Oreochromis niloticus: one gene and its partner. The protein of the gene in region 2 purifies or fractionates together with the protein of the main gene of each other region. This does not show direct contact. Links are inferred from orthologs where the notes say so. Each region holds a gene or a part of one and is shown on either strand. Other genes may lie near its edges.

Region 1 (10,080 bases), on a different chromosome or scaffold from region 2:
AATCAAGTAGCACAGAAACTGTAAATTCGTTGTCTGAATAAACAGCAGCTATTTTGACTTCTCTAATATAACCAACTATGGCTCTATGCCACAAACATATAGACGTACTATGTGGCAGGTTGAAATTAATTTCATCACTGACGTCTGTTTTTCCACTAGTCTTTATAAGATGCTTTCTTATTTCTACTTTTTCAAAAAAAAAAAGAAAAAAAAAAGAAATAATCACACAAGGACAGACACGGCCATCAGGGGTAGAGTGAAATGCTTAGGATAACAGAGGGGAACAAAGTAAAGGACCGAATGACATGACTGCATGAAGGTCAGCAGTTCTTTTGTGTCCATCGTTTTCCTCTATATTCGAAATATATTCAATATGAGTCACTTCTGTGGGCTGATTGCTCCAGAGGGCGGAGGAGCTGACACTCGTTGATATCCAGAGATATTTTCTGTTGGCTCTTTCCACAGAAAAAGGAAAGATAAAACAAAGTACAAATCCATAAAAACAAGCATTTATTATGATACTTTGTTAGTTTTTTTCCTAAAGTTTTTTCAATGCAAAGATAAATCGTTAACATTCACAAATATCAAGGCTAATAATACACTATACAGACAAAAGTATTGGGCCACACCTCTTAATTCTTGAAATTTTAAAATTAAACATTAAAAGGTTCTATTGGGGCTTGTAGTAAAAAGCACTTAAAGCCGCCAACACTCTGCAGACCCAGAAACTGCAGCGCTCCAAACCTCCTCTGGCATTAACATCAGCATGAAGACTGTGCGCAGGTAGCTTTGAGGTGCGAATCTCCATGTCTGAGCAGCTGAGCAGTGTAATATGTAGATGGCCCTGTACATTTGTCCTTATACCACAGTTCTTTGTTTAGTCATTTCTTGCTGATTGCTGTTTTAAAACTTGTCGTTTAGTGTTATATTTGTAACAACTTATTTCCCAGTTAATAATAATTAAATAAAAGTTAAACTAAAGCCTGATTATTGACCTCGTCTTTGTAACCGCAGGCACTCAGATGACACCATGGGACAATCCTGGAAACATTTTCTAATATTGACAATCTTCAGTTAGTGATTTAATCTTGGCGTTATAAAGAACCTTTTCATTATTATCATTATTATTGCTTTTACAAGGATGACTCTCACCATGAACCTTGACATTAGTGGTCTGTGTTCTGTATATATTTAACCAGCCCTTTCATCTTAGCGTTTCTCCCACGTATACTGTGGACAGACCTCTGTTTGCTTGTAAACTGAAGTAAATCCTGAATATCATTCTAATATGACAATGAATATTATGAAAGAATGCTTTAATGAGGTTAAACCCATTCTCCCATGCGGTTTTGGTACCTTAATTATAATTTTCTGTGATGAAAATTACAGAAATGGGATGAAATCCAGAAATAAATGCTTACTCACTAAATGTTATACATCCAAGTTCGTTTAAGACAACAGTCTGCCTATCTGACAAGTATCCCTCTCAGGTAACTCCTGTAAGTTTGCTGCTCTTGTCAGTATTAAGTAGTCTTTGCGCCCCATCCAGACTGTATATGTCTGAGAGGAAGGAGGTCTGTAACAAGAGCTCGGGCCTGTTCTCCTGGAACCAAGCAGCGCACGTGACAGCGATTCATTAGAGCTGGTTGTTCACACTACAGCTTGAGAGCACAGCACAGCTGCTGCCTTCTCATGGCATTGACGCCATCCGTCGCAGGCTCTCATGTGTGGATGGTTCACTTCGTCTCTTCTGGCAACTGAAATCAATCACACCCAGGACCAAACGCAGCAGCAGCAGGGACAGAAGAAGAGGCAGGAGGCCAAACCGGACCAGGAGCCAAGTGAGCAGTAGCAGCAGACAAGGAGGAAGAAGCTGATTCATGTTCATATACAGTGTAACACACACTGAAATGGTTAGAGGAGAGCTGCTGCAGAGTCACGAAAGCACAAAGCTTCATTTGCAAAAAGATGCAGATGATGTACAGATATTATCTGATTATTATCTTATCTTATACACGAGTATTGACCCAAATAATGAGGTAGGGATGGACTCCTGCAAACAGCACCAGAAGAAGGTTGATTAAAGTCTCCTGAATGAGATACAAATATGGATTCCCAGTAACCTTTGTGGATAATTTAAGATTTTATTTATTTTTCCTGTTTAATTGAACAGAGTGCAAATTAAAAAACAAGCGAACTATAATTTAATGTTGCACTATGCTAAAACAAATCTCAGAGATTTGTTCCCACCCATCTTGAAAGATCGCAAGATTAAAATAATACATCTACATAAATGTCTTTACTGCTTTTCTTCTTGTTTAGTTCCTCACTCTCTAACAGGGTTATGATTAGGCTTTACAAACGCCTCTAATACTTTATTATTAGTTAATAAGCAATTGATTACTATTGTGCATTATATTAGGCGTTATGTTAACAAAAAACAGCTGTGTTTTGCGACATTGATTTGTCCATATTATAAACCTGCCTCACTGGAAGTTAGTTCCAAAGAAACTCGGCCCACGACTTGTAAACTTTTACATTTATTCACAGTTGGTCAAGTTTCATAAATAATTTATAATGAAAGAAAAATGTTCACAGGATGTCCAGTCTAGGCCTCCAAGTGTCCACAGCCAGTCCACTCACATACTCAGCACAGGAGCCACACAAGGTTGCAGCTGGAGCCCTTCTCTTTACTCTGCATACCCTGTATGCATATGACTGCACGCTACGCTGTAACACAAAACCCATCAGACAATGCCGTGGCTTCCGCAGTCCGCAGACAATGCCGTGGCAGGGCTGATCAGTGGAGGAGATGAGTCTGCCTGCAGAGGTTCAGAAGCTGACAGGCTGATGTGCTGAAAACAAGTTGGTTCTAAATACCAACAGGACCAGAGAACTGATAATTGAGTTCAGGAGAAGTCAGAATGGCCACTTACCACTGAACATACAGTGCTGTTCTCAGGAAACAGTCTGTGTTATGCTTTTTTAATGAGGCAGTGCGTGTTGTATGTCCATGTGAGGTCCCTGAAACCGGAGACTCTCTCAAGCTCCCTTATGTATACAGTGCTGTGAAAAAGTATTTGCCCTCTTCCTGATTTCTTTCTTTTTTTTTTATATTTGTTCACAACACTGTATATGGAAAAGGGTTGGAGGGAGTGTTTAGTTTCAGGCACCTCACACAGACACACAACACACACTGCCTCATCACAAAAAGTACAACAAAGACTGTTTCCTGAGAACTCCTGAGAAATTAATTTTCCAGGAAGTGTACAGTGTCACTTTTTTTTTCTACACAGCGACATTAAAGTAACCTTGATTCTTGTAAAAGTGACATTTCATCCAGCACTTCATATCAATAAAGCATGTAGTTACAAGCTCCAACTCTTTTATACAGGATATGAGTACATCAGAAGGACAGCTTAGGTTGAACAGTTTGAAAGCAAAGTTAAAGAGACAAAGGATATTGAATCTGGAGATGCCATATAGGAGCATAAGAGGAAGACCACAAAACTGATTCATTGAGTGAGAGAAGGTGGACATCCAGAGGGTTGGTATACCAGAGGAGGACGCAAGACATAGGGTGAAATTAAGGCAGATAATCTGTGGCAACTCCTAGGGGGGGACAGGAGGAAGAAGAAAAAAAAAGAAGGGGAAGAAGGAGAATTTGAATGTATTCTTTAGTGTAATATTTCGCGTTAGGTAAAGTTTTTACACCGAGGTTGCAAACACACTCCTGAGCAGCAGGCCTCGCCTCGGTTCCTACTTACTTTTAATGCGCTTACGAAGAAGAAAGGCTACTTTGCTTTTTTCCGGTGACGTAACTTCCTTTCTGTCCGTGCTAACCTCAGAGTGAACACGCGCTCTCCTATCTAGCTCAAGTAAGTTTGGTTTTAAAACGTAAATAATGTGTTAAACACTAAGAAAATAACCGAGCCACCCAGATAAGCATGTACATTTTCAGCCCAGGCATTTTAAGAACATTAAAGAGCGTTTAGCCGACATTAATTCCGTTCTTTGGCTCCCGGAGCTGACGCTAGGTTGGCTAATGGTAGCGGAGAGCCGCATGGGTGTTAAAATTATGCTGTGTTTTCCCACATTGTCGCATTTTTTAGGCTTTATAGAGGTAGAGAAAATTGTATTTTAGTAGAAGCATATTCAATATTGGAAAATATGTAGTTTTTAGATAAGTGGACGATGGGTATCGGCTGTAAAGTGAAGCAGCGAACTGCTGTTTTACTGAAAATCGCCGTAATAACTCAGAAATGCGTTGGGATCACAGTCCTGTAGCTGTCTAAACCCGGGGAAAAAACTGACCCCTGAAGGGGTCGACCGTATGTCTTTTTTATGTTTTGTTTTTTTAATGATGCATTAACAGGGACAACATTTAATATTTTCCTGCTGTGATGAAGCCATATATTTCTTATAAACCGTAACATTTTCACATAAAAGTCAGAGATTGATCTTTTGAGACATGTCATGACTTTCTCCAGGCTTTGATTTTTATATAAAAATTTATCATATGCTGATAATGAAGCAAAATGAACATGTTTGTGTGAGTTGTGGTGTTTCCACTTTTGTTAATGTAAAAACAGATTGTCTGAACTTTAGACATCACTCATGTTCCTGTGTCCATACAAACGTCAAGCATGGTTACTAATGTTTCCAGTAAACTTTGTGTTTCAGGATGCGTTACGTTGCTGCTTACCTGCTGGCTGCCCTCGGTGGCAATGAAAACCCTGATGCCAAGGACATCAAGAAGATCCTGGAGAGCGTTGGCATTGAAACCGATGACACACGCCTCGACAAGGTACACAGCCACCTGCTCCTCTTTGTGTTTTATTACTGTTGTGGCTTCAGTTTTTCCCAGCAGCTGGTTCCTACCTTTAGGTTATGTTTATAATTGCATCTCTCTTTCTCTCTCTCTCTCTCTCTCTCTCTCTCTCCCAACAGGTTATCAGTGAGCTGAAGGGCAAGAACGTGAATGACGTTATTGCCACAGGTGAGTTTCCCGCAGTTTCATTTATGTGTGTGTGAGACCATGATTAATTTTGGTTTAAAATTTTGTTTGGCTGAAATGTTGTTAGGTCTGAAAGTTTAGAATTAAATGGATTCAGGCATGATTTTAATACTGAAATGGACTGCCTGCAGGGGTCTGAACTAGTTTATGATGTTGGATATTGTGACTAGTGATAAACTCCTTTGACGCACAGGAAAAACAGATTTAAGGGTTAAAAAAAAAAAGATTTATTAAAAATATGAGTGAACTAAGCTCTCAATGCTGGATTCCTCAGCAATGGAGGATGGCACAGTGTGTATGGATCACAGTTATACTGGAGAATTTGTTCATTGAAAATGGTTAATAAAGGTATTGTGTATATACAAATTACTTATTGTATACACAAATTATACTTATGAAGTTTTATTAGTCATCTTACACACTCTGTGCAGTAAGAATTAAAAACAAACACAGTATCAAGTTTAAAAGACTAAAAAAAGAACTAATTACTAAACAACTACTAAAAAAAAGATACAGCTAAGAACAACAGTATGAAATATAAATGTCATAATGTAGAGTACTGCAGATGGGCAGAAAAGTGGCACAGTGTTAAAGGTTAATATCAGCGCTATTGGTGCATGCAGCAAGTGATACTTGTAATGCAAAAACAATCCTAAAATACAGTTGGGATGGTGTGAGTACAAGTAGTAAAACATCAATATTTCATTTTCTTATTTGGGTCTTCGTGATAGCTGATCTTGCACCCTATTTGTGGGCAGAAATAAAATATTTCATGTGTGTGTCATGGTGCATTTGCTGTGATAATTTCAAGAGTTTTCTTGCCATAGTTTCTATAAACCTGCAGGGCATTATATCCTATTGGACAAAGTGAATCGATTTGAATATGAGATAAGAAAAAAGTTGTATTTAATGAGATGTGTAAAGTCAGACCACATGTAATGATAACGGACTGTTTCTGACCTCTGTCTTGTTTCTGACTGCTGAGTGTCGATGTTATCACTTGTGCTTCATGTCTGCCAACTCGTGTCTCCTCAGGTTACGGTAAGCTGGCCAGCATGCCAGCAGGTGGTGCCGTAGCCGTTGCCAGCTCTGCAGCTGCTGGCTCAGGCGGAGCCGCAGCTCCTGCTGCAGGTGAGCATTGCAGCTTAGCACCTTGTTTGGCACCATCAATCATATTTGGCACTTTGTGATTTTGCCTTCACCTTGTATGTTTGTACAACTACATGGAGCCAAATAATGATCTGTTGACATGAAAGATGCATCTAAACAAGTTAATCCACACAAAATCCACACTATACTGGGTAAATACAGTGCAGGCAATTTAATTTATGCTAAGGTTTTAAGTTTAATGGTTTTAGAAAAGAGGCTTTTTTTTGTTTTCATATTAATACAGCAGCGTGTAAGCAACACCCAACAAAAACTGGGAAATTCAAAAATAAAAATCAGTTGCATTTAATTATATTTCAAAACACCCGTTATATTAGGCAACCACATGAGCAGGTTGCTGTGTCATGGTGATGACAGCAGGAAGTGATATCAAGTGCTTTTTGTTTTTCAGCTGAGGAGAAGAAAGAGGAGAAGAAGGAAGAGTCTGAGGAGTCCGATGATGACATGGGATTCGGCCTCTTCGATTAAACTCCTTGAGCTGATCAATAAAGTTTTTACAAAATCCCTCTTATGCAGCTTTTCTCTTTACTTTAAAACTTGTGAGGTTGTGTAATTTGACCTGATCGGGCCTATTCAGTGTTCGGGTATGTGAACTTATTCAAATTAATGGAGAAAAAAACAAAAATCTGAAAAGGCTCTGGCTGATGAAATTGATCCCAGTGCTCAGTAGATGGCGCTGTGGAGCCTTTCAGCGCTAAAGGGATGAAAGCAGACGACACCAGATCCTTCATTTTGGGCTTTTGTTCAGCGGTTTGAATTATCCACGAGCTTAGACACAGATCTCCACACTTGACACCGGTGAGGCCAACACTTGAATTATTTACAGCTAAGGATAAAGTGTCACGTGACGGCGAGCTGCCAGCACGGCTGAAGCTGCACGTAGTCCTCTGTGTGTCAGCAGCAGTGAGCCTCCGAGGGGGAAAAGTGCAGTTGCAAGAAAAGAAAAATGAGTTTTGAGGAAAAAGAAAGAATGCTGCTGCTTTAATTGCATAGCGTAAAGGTAAATAAGACAGTTGTGTAAAGGATAAACGCTTCGCCGATTGAGTGTCGGCAGCCTGTCGCTATAACAACTTTACACATTAGTCAATATCAGTACTCGCATACATCTTAATGTTTAACCTTTATAAAATGCATTTAACAAGTAAGAGAAGACTGTTTTACAATGCTTGATGTGAGTAAAACGCAAACCTACATGTATGTAAAATTCAAGCGTTGGTCTAGAAATTATACTTTTATAGTTAACTCATTAGATTTTGGCAGGGAACAAACGTTTTTACAAAACAGCTCAGGTGTAATAAGTAACGTGTTAGAAGCGATAATAAAATTAAAACAAACACTCTCGTGAACGCATATTATCACCGAGTAAAGGTCGACACCCAGAATGTAAATTATTCACCACAGTATAAACAGCACAGGCGTCCAGTATCAAGAGCAATTTTGTCTCATTATATGAGACCAAACATCACACGTTGTTTTTATTGACTGGGAGTTCTACTGATTGCCTCTTCCAAGTATCTAGGGTGACAAGGTGTCCTACTTCACGTGGAGCTGAACAGCATTTTATACCTTGACCCCTTGTCCTACATATTAGGACATCGTCCTACATTTGGGTCTTGTTTAACCTCCTAGAACATGGCGTCCACATATGTGGACATCACATTTTTGGTTATTTTGACCAAAATACTCAATTTTGCTCTACATGGGCCTGATATCCACTTACGAGGACATTATACTGCTACTGTTCTATCAAAATTTTAAATGAATATCCTCATTTGTGGCTCTCGTTTTTCTTAAAAACAAAAATAAGGTAAAAACAAAAAATCTGGAAATTCTTTGTTTTTACATTCATTGGGCCCCAATGTGACCAAATATCAAAGAGAAATTAAAAATGCATGGTGTGGAAGAGTTCGGGTCTTAGGAGGTTAAAAGAGAAGACGGATAGCTCACTAGAAAGATTTGGCTCAAATATGGATCCATTCCTACTGAAAATCAAAGATCAAATGCTGAAACATTTGCTTCCTTGTAAAAAGCTTTGAAATTTTAATTTGAAAACAATTACAGCACAATTGTTCTTTTTTATGATCTGTGCGACAGCTTTAACCCAGACAGCTTATGCGTGTTTATTTTTCAAGTTAGATGCATAAAAATGTTCAAACAACAAAGTAGTGAATGCTGCCTAGCATGGGACACCTGTGAATCAAACTGTCCACAGAGGCCCAAAACATTTTCTATACCTGGCAGCATGTATGTCTTTTAATACTGTAAAATTGGGCAGTTTAACATAGCAGTTTATAGGCATGGACTTTCTTTTGCGGTCATATTTAAATGACACTTCAGAGGCTACAGGCCAGAACGAGTACTTCAATCAAACAGTCAACACTTTTCACCAAAAAAACTTACTCGAGCGGCAGCTGATCAGTTTGCTCAGTTATTATTCTCATAAATTGTTAGGCAGATAAAATATCTGCAGACATTTTAAATAATTCATTTAGGGAAGTGTGTGCATTTTTCTTGGCACACACCCCCACTAATACCACAAATAGCCCATAAATCTGTGGGAAACACTGATGTCACTTTCAAACTTTCCACAGTCAAAATCAATGGAGAAAAACTTGAATCACAGCATCCCTACTGGTAAACGGGATATTGATTGGACTGTTCTGCAAAAAGCAGGCTAGACAGAAACAATTTACCAGATTATTGTGTTTTTCCCTCTTCAGAGGAAAATGTGAATAAGATGCGCAGATTTCGGAGTAATTGCCTCATTCGCGTGAAGGCAATCAAAGAAAGCAAAAAAAAAGAGAAACAGAACGAACAGAAGTCTGGACACATTCAGGAGGTAGACGTGGTACACCAGCTGTACGGACCAGTCTCTCCAGTCAGGGAGAAGAATGTAGGAGGTGAATAATGGATGTAGAAGTAAGCGGGCATGGCTGCTTAGGGAGGGAGACAGTAGTTTCTATCAGCTGATAATGAAACGCTCAGTGAAACTTTGGCAGTTGACAGGCACATCCCTGACCTTTCCCTCCATTGATCTCCTTTAGCGTACCAGCTGGTCAATTCCATTTTAATTTGATGAGTAACCTTAGGAACTAGGTATGGTGTATGAGTCACATGCTTTAGGAGTTAGGAGTTGTTTTTGAATAGAGGTTCATCACATTAGTGAAGCATGCGCACACACAGAGCTATTTAAAAAAAAGCCTTAATGGCTGCATTAATTTTCCAGCAGTGTGACTCTTTTGTGTTGTCATAAAAGCTGTTCAGCAGATGAAGATCAGGAAAGCACGACAAATTAATGCACATGTGAGGAGACTCAAATGATAAGCAAATGATACTCATACCCACAGGAAGCACTGACTTAACGCGGGCATTCAGTGCATGGTTGCACGGACATGCCCTCTGCATGTACCTCCATATCCTTGTCCAATTATCAGTTGAGACCCATGGCTAAAATTGTCACGCCTGTGAAGACAATGAGCTCCTTTGTGTTTGTGAATATTCATAAGGTGCTCTGTTTAGAGAGCCTCCAATTATGCTGTATTAGCACTCCAGTGTACAAGGAGAAAATGATGATGATGGCTGCTCAGTGATGATAGTGATTTAAGTAAACAGATTCATCAAATGTGGCCTTCAGCAGGCTGCGGATGCACTTCCCTGTCGTGTCAGTTTGAAATTGAAGGAGGCGATCACTTGTTTTTTGTGTCAGTACTTTTAGAGTAAACTTTTGCTGCATACAAGTCTCCTAAGTAAACAGGAAAACACCGAGCTTTAAGGAGCTCCTTTCAGAGGCAGTAGTCACATCTGTATAAACAAGTAATGTATCTGTGACCCATATTTCTCACAGACTACCAAATACGCTTCAAGTTGTGCAAAGGCATCTTTTGAGCAGGGACTAA
Region 2 (10,080 bases):
CTCAGGCAGACTTGAGCCTTGGTTGTTCCTGAATATGCTAACCAATTTCTTCATCTGAGTGACAGGTAGGGTCTTCTTCCAGAACTTGGCAGTGATGACACATCCATATAACTTGTACTTACACCAAATTGTTCAAACTGATGATCTTGGAATCTGCAGATGTTTATAAATGGCTCCAAGACACCTTCCCAAGTTGTGTAACTCTGTAATTCTCCTTTCTTGGACTTACCAGTTGTTCTGCATATTTGTCAATTCAGTGATTGTTGTCAAATAATTCCCTCTATGCTGGCAAAGAGAAAGTCAATTATGATCGCTAATGAGAATGCCCTTAAAGCTAAAAGTGAATGTGTGTATATTTTTTAGCCTGTATATATAATTTTGACCCTGTGTGGATTACAGAAAAAAACCAAATAAACTCAAAGTTGTGTACTAAATATTTTTTTAAAACATTAAAGATGTATGCCCTGCAATCATTATACCAGGGGAAAAGAACAATTCAAAGAAATTATTAAGGCTCAAAATATCAAGTGTATGTAAACTTCTGACCACAACTGTGTATTCTGCAGCTTGATAGCTTTGCACCGTCTGCTTATTCATCAGGCATTTTATGTCCATTGTGTCAATGACATTCACTAACCTCTGCATTAACACTTCCAATTAAAGTTCTTTTACTAAACCTGCAGGTACACACGACCACAGCTGAAGATGCACCTTCAGTACAGTATTATCTGTACCCTTGTTAAGTGCCACTTTTTGACAACTGAAACTGTATGCAGACATATTGTCACAGTGAAGTGCAGGAAAATGCAATGTTTTTCTTGTTTACTTTGTACTTCAGACCGATTGACCTTGTAACATGGGCATGATGAAGGCATCTATGACAGAGAAAACATGCTCTATGCAGATGGTAGTGTGGCTTCCATCTGCCAAGCAGTGAGGTGCCAGGGATGTCCAAGTACAGCAGACAGAACTGAAAATGGCTGATCAGGAAAGCACATTTATACACTAGCTGGAAAAGGATGGTGTACACATACATGCCAATTCGCAGGTCACCTCCACTGTACATTCTAAACTCTATTACTGCCATACTCCTATAAAGAAGTCGACTTGGGGAAGATTTCATTCACGTTTAGGTGGAGACAGCTAGACACTGTAGAAACACATTTTGAAGTGTAATCCTCTTTATTAATATTGTGTGGTTTCTATCCCTTCCTCATATCTGCTGTAAAATAATTCACCCCTCACGAGTTTGTTCTTTGCTTTGATTTAAATTCTCCAGTCAGGTTCAAAGTTTTGACCACCCCCAGCTGTAGTCTTGACATTTTTGTTAACACCTTCAATATCTTTGTTGGCCCTAGTGTATCTAATGTGAGGAACTGCAAGGTGTACCAGCTCTCAGTCATGTAAATATTGAATATAAAAGAAAAATAAACTTCATATTAGCAAACAAGTTCTGAGCATATACTTGTTTCTTTATGAATATTAATCAAAACCATAAGAGCTTTTTCTGTAATAGTCTTAATATTTTGGACTGAAAGGTAAATGAAACAACCAAGACACATCTCAATAACAAGTTTTTATTGAAAACAAACAGGTGCGGGGTCCAGCTCAGGCTATGCTGCCAGCATTGGAGGCAATCCTGGGCCACAGGTCAGCACACTCTTTGGCCACTGGGCCTGTGATGGCAGAACCTGTAGACACACACACAAAGGTACGCAAGTCCCAATACTTATGTTATTTTAAAAGCTTGAAAAATAAACTGATTTTACAGTGGAGAGGCATAAAAGTTAGATAAATTTATAAGGTGGTGTTACTTTCATTACTGGGAGCACATAGTTTGGGTGAAACATCACATTAACCAATACATTACAAGAAAAAGTTGTACTGAGTATTTATAAATTGTCTCATCCCTGATTGAGATCAGTCAGCCACAGTGGGGTCGCTGCTGTCTCACCCACAGTGATGAAATCAATATTCCCTTCTACGACAACTCACCGAGCCACTGAGCAGACAAAGCAAGTGCTTTTGGAAGGGCAAATATGCTCCTGTCATGACAACACACCAATCATCTCCCTGTACAGCAAGCAGGATGAATGACACGCCACGTTTCAAAAACCCACCTTTCATTTCTCCTTTGTTGTTTACTATGACACCCGCGTTGTCTTCAAAATAGAGAAACACGCCATCTTTTCGTCTATACGACTTCCGCTGCCGTATCACCACCGCAGGATGCACTGTGGAGAGGGGAACAAGGTTCATTTGAGCTCAAAATTTAAAACTAAAAACCGCATTTAAACACTTTTTGCAACTGAGACTAGCAACTTATATTTAGACATTTATAGACTGCAGCTGGTGACTGTAGTTCCTGCTCTGCTCCAGGGATCTTCCAGCTGAAAGGCTACTCCAACTAGAACCTGCATGTTTCACTAAAGTAAAGCTGAACAGACAAAGAGGAATACAGTCACCAGCTTCGTTGTTAATGGATCCACAGAAGAAAGACTGAATGGAGATATTGCTCCTTATTTTAATTTTGTTTTGTTATTCGCCATTGACAAATTACAGCACATGCATGAAAGCAGCTTAAATGACATTTAATAATGAGTTTATGAAAGAGTGTGCAACGCCGCAAACAGAACCTACATGTCTGGTGAAGACTGCATGACGACCAGTTTCCCACTTACCCTTCTTCCTGAGCTCTGGCTTGCCTTTCTTGACTGTGGCCATGACCATGTCACCAACTCCAGCAGCAGGAAGACGGTTCAGACGGCCCTTGATGCCTTTCACAGAGATGATGTACAGGTTCTTGGCACCTGAAAAACATAGTGAGAAACACCATAATGAGAACAGAGGACAGGGTGGAAGAAAATAAGATCTACTCCCGCTCCTGTTTATGACAAAACCACGTTGTCAGCTTGTCTCATCCCTGATTGAGATCAGTCAGCCACAGTGGGGTCGCTGCTGTCTCACCCACAGTGATGAAATCAATATTCCCTTCTACGACAACTCACCGAGCCACTGAGCAGACAAAGCAAGTGCTTTTGGAAGGGGTGGACAGAAGTAACCAACTAGTAGCCATTGTCCAAATTCTTCAATCCTGTTATTGCATTTTCACTTTCAAACAACAGTGCTATGTTTATGGCCAGGTTCACATTATGTGAGATGCAGGTACTCAAAGTTCTGAAACTGTTTCCTTTTTTGCTAAGTACTTTTTAAATTTGTTCTAGAAAAACAACACGCCTGCAGTGTATAATTACTTTACCCCCCCCCCAGGTTAAATAATTATACACTGTTATCAAGAGTGCTCATTAATCTGCATATAAATCCAAGTTTAACTTCAACAACATGTTTTTGAACATAGATTTTAAGTTATGTGAGCCTTCAGGTACAATCAAACTTGTGGTCAAAAGCATTCTCTCTAGAGAAAGTGGAAACAAAAGAACCATTTTGGGCGAGATCCAAGTTTTCCTAATTTCCAGTCACATTAGACCCTGACAGAAAACCTCTCTCCGAGAACTGACACACTGATGCTTTGCATACATGTTAATTTTCACACAGAGGTTAAAAAAAAACCAAACCCTCAAATAATCCATTTATGTGCATTACTGAGTATAGTAGATACCATGTAGACATGTTTTTCCAAGTCGTCACTTACATTTAATGATAAAGCTGCTTCCAGAACAACAAAAAGCAGACTTATTCAGTGCAAACATCAGCAGGTATAAGCAACAAGGATTAAAACAAATATCTACACAAAAGCTACAATGATTACACTTACTAATGTGTTTTATTAACCTTTTGTGATCATTACTCTGCAAACAACTGCATTAAGAAAAAACCAACAAACAAAAAATACTATGAAGTTACAGGGAATAACGCGTAAAGGGGTTTCTTCTCTGCACAGGACAATACCAAGGTAGTGAGGAGTTTCTCGCCATTCCAAGCAGTAAGAGAAATAAATCTAGGTTTCCAGTACATTCATCCTTGAGCAGCATTTGATGCTCCATAACCAAGTTAAAAATGAAGCAGTTTCACAACACTTCCAAAATTTGAAAAAACTGAGATTTACTAACTTTGTCCTTTTGTGATACTTTGATGTTTTTACTTTTAACTTGACCCATTTACAACAACACAATCACAAACACTACAAGGAGCACACCAAATAAACTAGATCACATACAGTGAAGAATGATGTGGCCGGTCTTAGTGAAAAGATAACAGCTCAACGTGAAAAACAGTAAGTTTTTGGCTGGATCTTAAATTCCCATCAATCAGTTAAGAGTTTAAGACTTTTTTGTAAAGAAAAGGTGAACAAGAGAAGCAAAAGGAAAAGCCAACAGGAGTCAACCTGACACAGCAACGAGTTATCACAGACCTACCTGTGTTGTCCGCGCAGTTGATGACTGCTCCTACTGGGAGACCCAGGGAGATGCGGAACTTGGCTCCAGAGGAACCACCACGTCCTGCAGGAAAAGAGAAAAACGTCCGAGTAAGAATCATTTCTACCTGACAAATTGGGCATTTGTGATTTAAACTCAGGAAAGATACTGATATTTCAAATGTAAATATTTACCACAAGTGCCCTTGTGTACTTATAGTGACACTGAAATCCCTGACTCGGATAAGCCTTTAATCATCACATGGGTCCATTTCATTTTAGCAGCGAATGCCACATTTGAGAAATCTACACACCCACTGTAATACATAAGCCACAAGCTACAGCATGCTTTACTGAAGCTTATAACAGAGCATGAATATGACCTTTGATCAGGTCAGGGCACAATGATGGTTAAAATTCAGAGAAGCCCAATCTAAAGGAACTTCTAACCTTAATGACATTACATGTATGCAGTCATCGACACTGGTTTACACAGTTGCCAGCAGCTTAAGCTCCTTTTAACCAACTTAGCACAAACCATACGACAAATATACAACTTCTTGCTATTCTGTTTGATTTCGGAGCCGGAAAACACGTGAACACTGTAGAGCTATTTTCATTTCACTGGGTTAAGCGTAAACGCAAGTAAGTAGTAACCAAGAGCTAAAACTACAAGCATTTTCCATTTTGCTCAGCAAGAGTTTGTTTCAAATTTGGCAGCTCCAACTTATCCATAATTCACGCTTAATGTAGACCGGCGCTGCTTAGCTTTCCCGGCTAGCCCTGATTACCACAAACGAATTCACTTCATTGGTACAATTTCAGGTCAGGAAGCATCGTTATAATTCACATAAAAATAAAGACCTTCACCAAACAGAAGGCTAAAGTGTGTGGAGGAAAATGCGACTAGCACGTACACATTTTCGGCCTCTAGCATTTCTCGTTTCAGTAATACATGGCGCTGAACGAAAAACATGGCTTCCTTCAACTTCCCATCTCAACCGCGATCTTTATAAAATCGCTAACTTTTGTCATAATTTTAAAACTGGTCACACAAAAACATTGATTTAGCCTCTCTATCACACATAAGCAACTCTATAAGCTGTAGCTCATCTTAGAAAGAGCAGATGGAGGTGGATTTTACAAAGCAAGCCTCATACCTCTCTTAGACATTGCTGCAGCACGGAAAGAGGAAGGCGGAGAAAGGAATTGTGGGTAATAAAGCAGAACAGAAGTTCCTCCGGGTCAGGATGACGAGACGCGCTGCGTTCAAGAACAGTCGGGAAAATTCATCAATCAAATTTGGTGTTTACGTCATTTTTGCGTCTACGATCGAACTGGATCACAAAGTGATGTTATACTAGCCTTGCGTGTTTTAAAAATGGCGTTTACCTTAGTTTCCCACTGTTTCTTAATTTTGCAAGTCCAGTTTTTAATTTGTTTTTATTAGTATTTGAATCAAATTATTTACTGTTTACCTAAACAATTTACCTGCCTGTTGTATGTAGTTTCTGTTTAATTCTGTCTTGTGAAAGGGTTGAAAAATAATTTTAACGGTCTTGGATAGAAATTTGGTTATACAATCATTTGTCTGGGCTGCTAAGAAGTTACACTGTTGTAATTATTGCTGTGCTTTATAAACACATTTTTGTTTGAAAAAATCCTGTGGCTAAATTATCATTTCATATCATTCACGGTTTGTTATTTCATCATAATGAATCAAAACAGATCACTGACACAACAACGTGCTCGTATGTGTGTCTCTATTTAAAAACTTCAATCTGTCACGTTAAGACTTTAAATACATTTCATAAATATAGTTAAGCAAAGGACTCAAGGAAATTACATTGTAATCCACATGATGGGACAACAGAAATTAATTTAAACTCAGATGCACCTCTTTCTAAAGAAAAAAAAAAAGAATATGAGGCTACATGTATATCTTTTGGGGGGGGGGGGGGTTCTGGCCCTTGGGGCAGCAGAAGCAGGTGTAAAACAGCTTGTTGAGCTAATATGAAGAATCAACAGAGGTCAGGATTGGACTGGTAATCCAGCCCAGGGTAGACACACTTGTAGGCCGTTGGGTCAATATGATTTTTGATCTAACGTCACACCTAAACAAGAAAACAAGCATAGTCAGAGTCTTAATTGTGGTTAAAGAAATACCTAGAAATAAGTTGTGATAGTTTCTGTGATCTCCAGTACAGACTGTGATTATCTGGCCTCTGCTGTTGTTCTTTGTGGATTTAGCCATCCGAATTCTTCCAGAAATAACTAAATATTACACAAGCTATCATGGCTGATTTCCAACCCTTAGACAGTATAAAAAGAGTGTAATGATGGAATTCAGTGAGTGAATCTAATCAATAAGTCCTGTAAGCAGGGCTATCTGACTATCTGTCTGTCCCCATCATGTAGCAGACTGCGGGGTAGGCATTTAGTAGTGAGTGCTGGGCGAATCCCCCCATCACTGGCTTAAATCAGTTTCTGTTAACCTATTGTGGTAATACCCCTAGGATCAGAGACTTGGACCCTTTGAACAGAGACTGCTGTACAGAGGTAATCTTATGTTTATGTCATTTTACAACACAGCTCACCATTATAAAGAGTTTCTAAATGTTTTAAGGGAATGTTTTTGCTTTCAAATCCAAAAGCAACCTCTATAACAGTGATTCCCAGGCTGCAAAGGTACTGCAGGTAAACTGCAGTAACAAGGGAAACATGTTAAGTTACATTTTTATAGAAATGTATCTATTTACATAAAAAGTGAATTAAAACTGGTAATAAGAGGTTGTTAGTTAGTTATATTACTCTTTATTCTCGCCTAAATTTACAGCTCTTGCATTGAAGTATTGTATTCAAGTTGCAGGTGTGTTGCACAATCGTCTTAACATTTTGCATATGACTGGGAAACATTAGCAATTTATATTAGTAATTTACACCTATAAGCCTGTGTTGTTCATGACAGTTTTTTTTAAAAGTAACATTGCCAAGGAAATATGTCACTTTCTCTTGTTTTTTGATTAGAGTGCAGATTTAAGATGGCTTTCTGACTTTTCTTGACTTTCGGAATAGCTTCTCTTTAATATTATAATAATAATATTTAATATTATATAATTAATATATATTAATATATGAACAATAGTCCCATAATGCAATGTGTTGGTGATGTCTTGATCCCGAGCTCTATATCAGGATTTCCACTCCTCCCACTCCAGTCACCTTTACTGCTGAACAAATCACGAGACAGCTGATGAAACTCCACTCAAGCAAGGCTGCGGGCCCTGATACTATGAGTCACAGGACTCTCATCATGTCTTCAAGATAAGCGTGAATCTCCAAATGGTCCGTGTACTTTGTAAGAAGTCCTACCTCATGTCTGTGGTAAAGCTGTCATGTCCTTGTGACTAATGTCTGTGTGTACTCCAACCTGAACAAGCAAGCATTGAGTGATTTGTATGACCGACTCCTTGGTTTTTACTTTTGGAAAGTATTACTATGAAATGTAGCAGAAAAAGATAATTATTATAGCTCTGGAAGTTGATTTTAATCTACTATTAACTTAAAATTAAAAACAGGTAGATTCAAATTTTGAAGCTTTGATCGTTCACTGAAACATACAGAAATTACCACTATTGTTTCCAGGTACAAAACCACAAGAATAACTATCACATTTTTACCTTGAGTGTATATTTACCAAATTATATTTCAGAGAATATTTTTCTAATTTTGAAGGCTTTATCACCTCATGATAACCAACATGAATGTCTACATGTTTTATTTAAAATCTCAGATATTACAAAGATTTTACAGTTTTGTTGTTAACAGATATTATATTCTTACCAAAACTGTTTTGTGGGATAGACTTCATTTTAAAATTTACACAATAACTATATATTATATTTAACTGATTATTCTGTCATGTAAAATCATGACCCCACAATTGCCATATTATTACCAAGTTGTAATATAAAACACTGCCAAATGTTGACATAGATAAAAAATAAACATCATTTGTCTTTCCAAAATTTATTTTGCCAAAGTATAATTATTACAGTTCGTTCCAGTCTCCATACCACCTCTGCTATTCTTCTTTCTTAAGAATAACTAATGATCAGAGTTGATTAATATTCCTTTAATGTCCACAAATAAAGGAAAAAATCCCAAAACAACAGAAATGAGTAAGAGCAAACATTCATTTTTTTTTTTCTCTACATGGCAAATTTGAGAAAACTTGCCAGGACTAGATTTAATAAAGTGTTGCAAATCTGAGTTGAAATATTCTGTAAAATAAAATCTGCATCCCTTAAGATACTCATATTCTCAAATGATACATTCAGGAGATATTCAGTCTAATGTGTGATAGAAAGCAATACAGTGCAAAAGTTGTGCTACAGTATAGTATAGTATAATATATATAAGTGATATAATTTTCTTTATCCAACGATGAGCCATGCCACCTTGGCCACTGGCACACTACACTATGATGCCCTAAACTATGCAATACTAAGCTGGATAATCAAAATCTTCATTTGATGGTGCATATCTCCTCTTCCTTGTACTCTTCATTCTTCTTGCTGAAGATCGTTCCATCAGGCTGGTTTACCCAGTTCAGTTTCACGTTTCCAGCTATGTTTTGCTCCTTCAGTTTCTGAATAAGCTGTGAATCACAAACAGTTTTTATTATTCTCTCAGCGACTGAAATTTGTGTTTTATTAATTTTCACTAGTTTCTGATTGAGAACAATCAGAATATTTTCATATTATAAAAAATTATATATTAGTGGTCAGACGTTTATGTACAATTATCATGGGGATAATGTCATTTTTATCTGGGAATTTTAATGATTGCTTTGAACTATTCTCATAGAGGTGCTGTTGACATAAAATTCTTAGCACATGTTGGTAACAACCCATCCAATCCACACATGCAAAGAAATCAAACCATAGATGTCCATAAATTAGGTTATATGTAATAATGAAAAAGGAGAAATGACACAGGGAAAAGTATTGAACACGCTTACTGAAACTGATAAAATACTTTGTACAAAACTCTTTGTTGGTGATGACTGATTCAATACGCCTCCTGTATGCAGAAACTAGTCAAATACATTGTCTTGATGCGTGCTCAATCATTCAGGCAAAACATTGATTCTGTTCATCTGGATGAGACAAAACGTTTTGCCCACTGAAAACGCTACATCCAGATGTCACATGCATTGCTCATGTGTGATTTTGGTCCTTTCATCCACACAGTCTTCAATCCTGAAGATTTCGTGGGCTCCTTCTAGGAACTCTGAACTTTAGCTCTTAGTACTAATCCGTATGCACTGATTTAAGGTACAAATCAACTTTTTAAATTCCCTCCATTACTGATGGAAATCTCGCAGTCTAAAAAGGTATCCTGTCATTTTTTGCTGTAGTTACAGTCATTCCCCAACTCTCTGTGAATGGTACTCAGGGTACGCAGGGGTGGCTGGAGTGTGAATGTGTGTGTGAATGTTAGTTAGAAAGCACTAAGAAAATGTGCTTGTGCGAATGGGTGTGAATGGGTGAATGCACAAGTTGTATAAAGCGCTTTGAGTGCTCAGAAGAGTAGAAAAGCGCTATATAAGAACCAGTCCATTTACCATTTACTCGTGGCCATTGATCAATGGTGATCAAAATTTATATTTAGGTGCAAGATTTTTGATCTATCATCACTTC

Evidence for each region. The genes of interacting proteins can lie anywhere in the genome.
Region 1: the proteins of rpl23 (region 2) and rplp2b fractionate together in Homo sapiens (co-fractionation; 4 studies listed by BioGRID). This does not show direct contact. The link is inferred for Oreochromis niloticus from reciprocal best matches to the Homo sapiens genes RPL23 and RPLP2.

Annotation. Positions count from the first base shown.
Region 1 is NC_031965.2:17,970,306-17,980,385, reverse strand, and holds rplp2b (large ribosomal subunit protein P2), read left to right. Parts: upstream 1-3,732; 5' UTR 3,733-3,878; intron 3,879-4,683; 5' UTR 4,684-4,684; coding exon 4,685-4,807; intron 4,808-4,950; coding exon 4,951-4,999; intron 5,000-6,052; coding exon 6,053-6,148; intron 6,149-6,575; coding exon 6,576-6,652; 3' UTR 6,653-6,695; downstream 6,696-10,080. UniProt on the Homo sapiens protein: Plays an important role in the elongation step of protein synthesis.
Region 2 is NC_031969.2:3,805,908-3,815,987, reverse strand, and holds rpl23 (large ribosomal subunit protein uL14), read right to left. Parts: upstream 5,654-10,080; 5' UTR 5,549-5,653; coding exon 5,536-5,548; intron 4,461-5,535; coding exon 4,377-4,460; intron 2,811-4,376; coding exon 2,682-2,810; intron 2,235-2,681; coding exon 2,121-2,234; intron 1,692-2,120; coding exon 1,609-1,691; 3' UTR 1,562-1,608; downstream 1-1,561. Other genes in the region: putative C-type lectin domain family 20 member A, read right to left, coding at 8,904-9,035.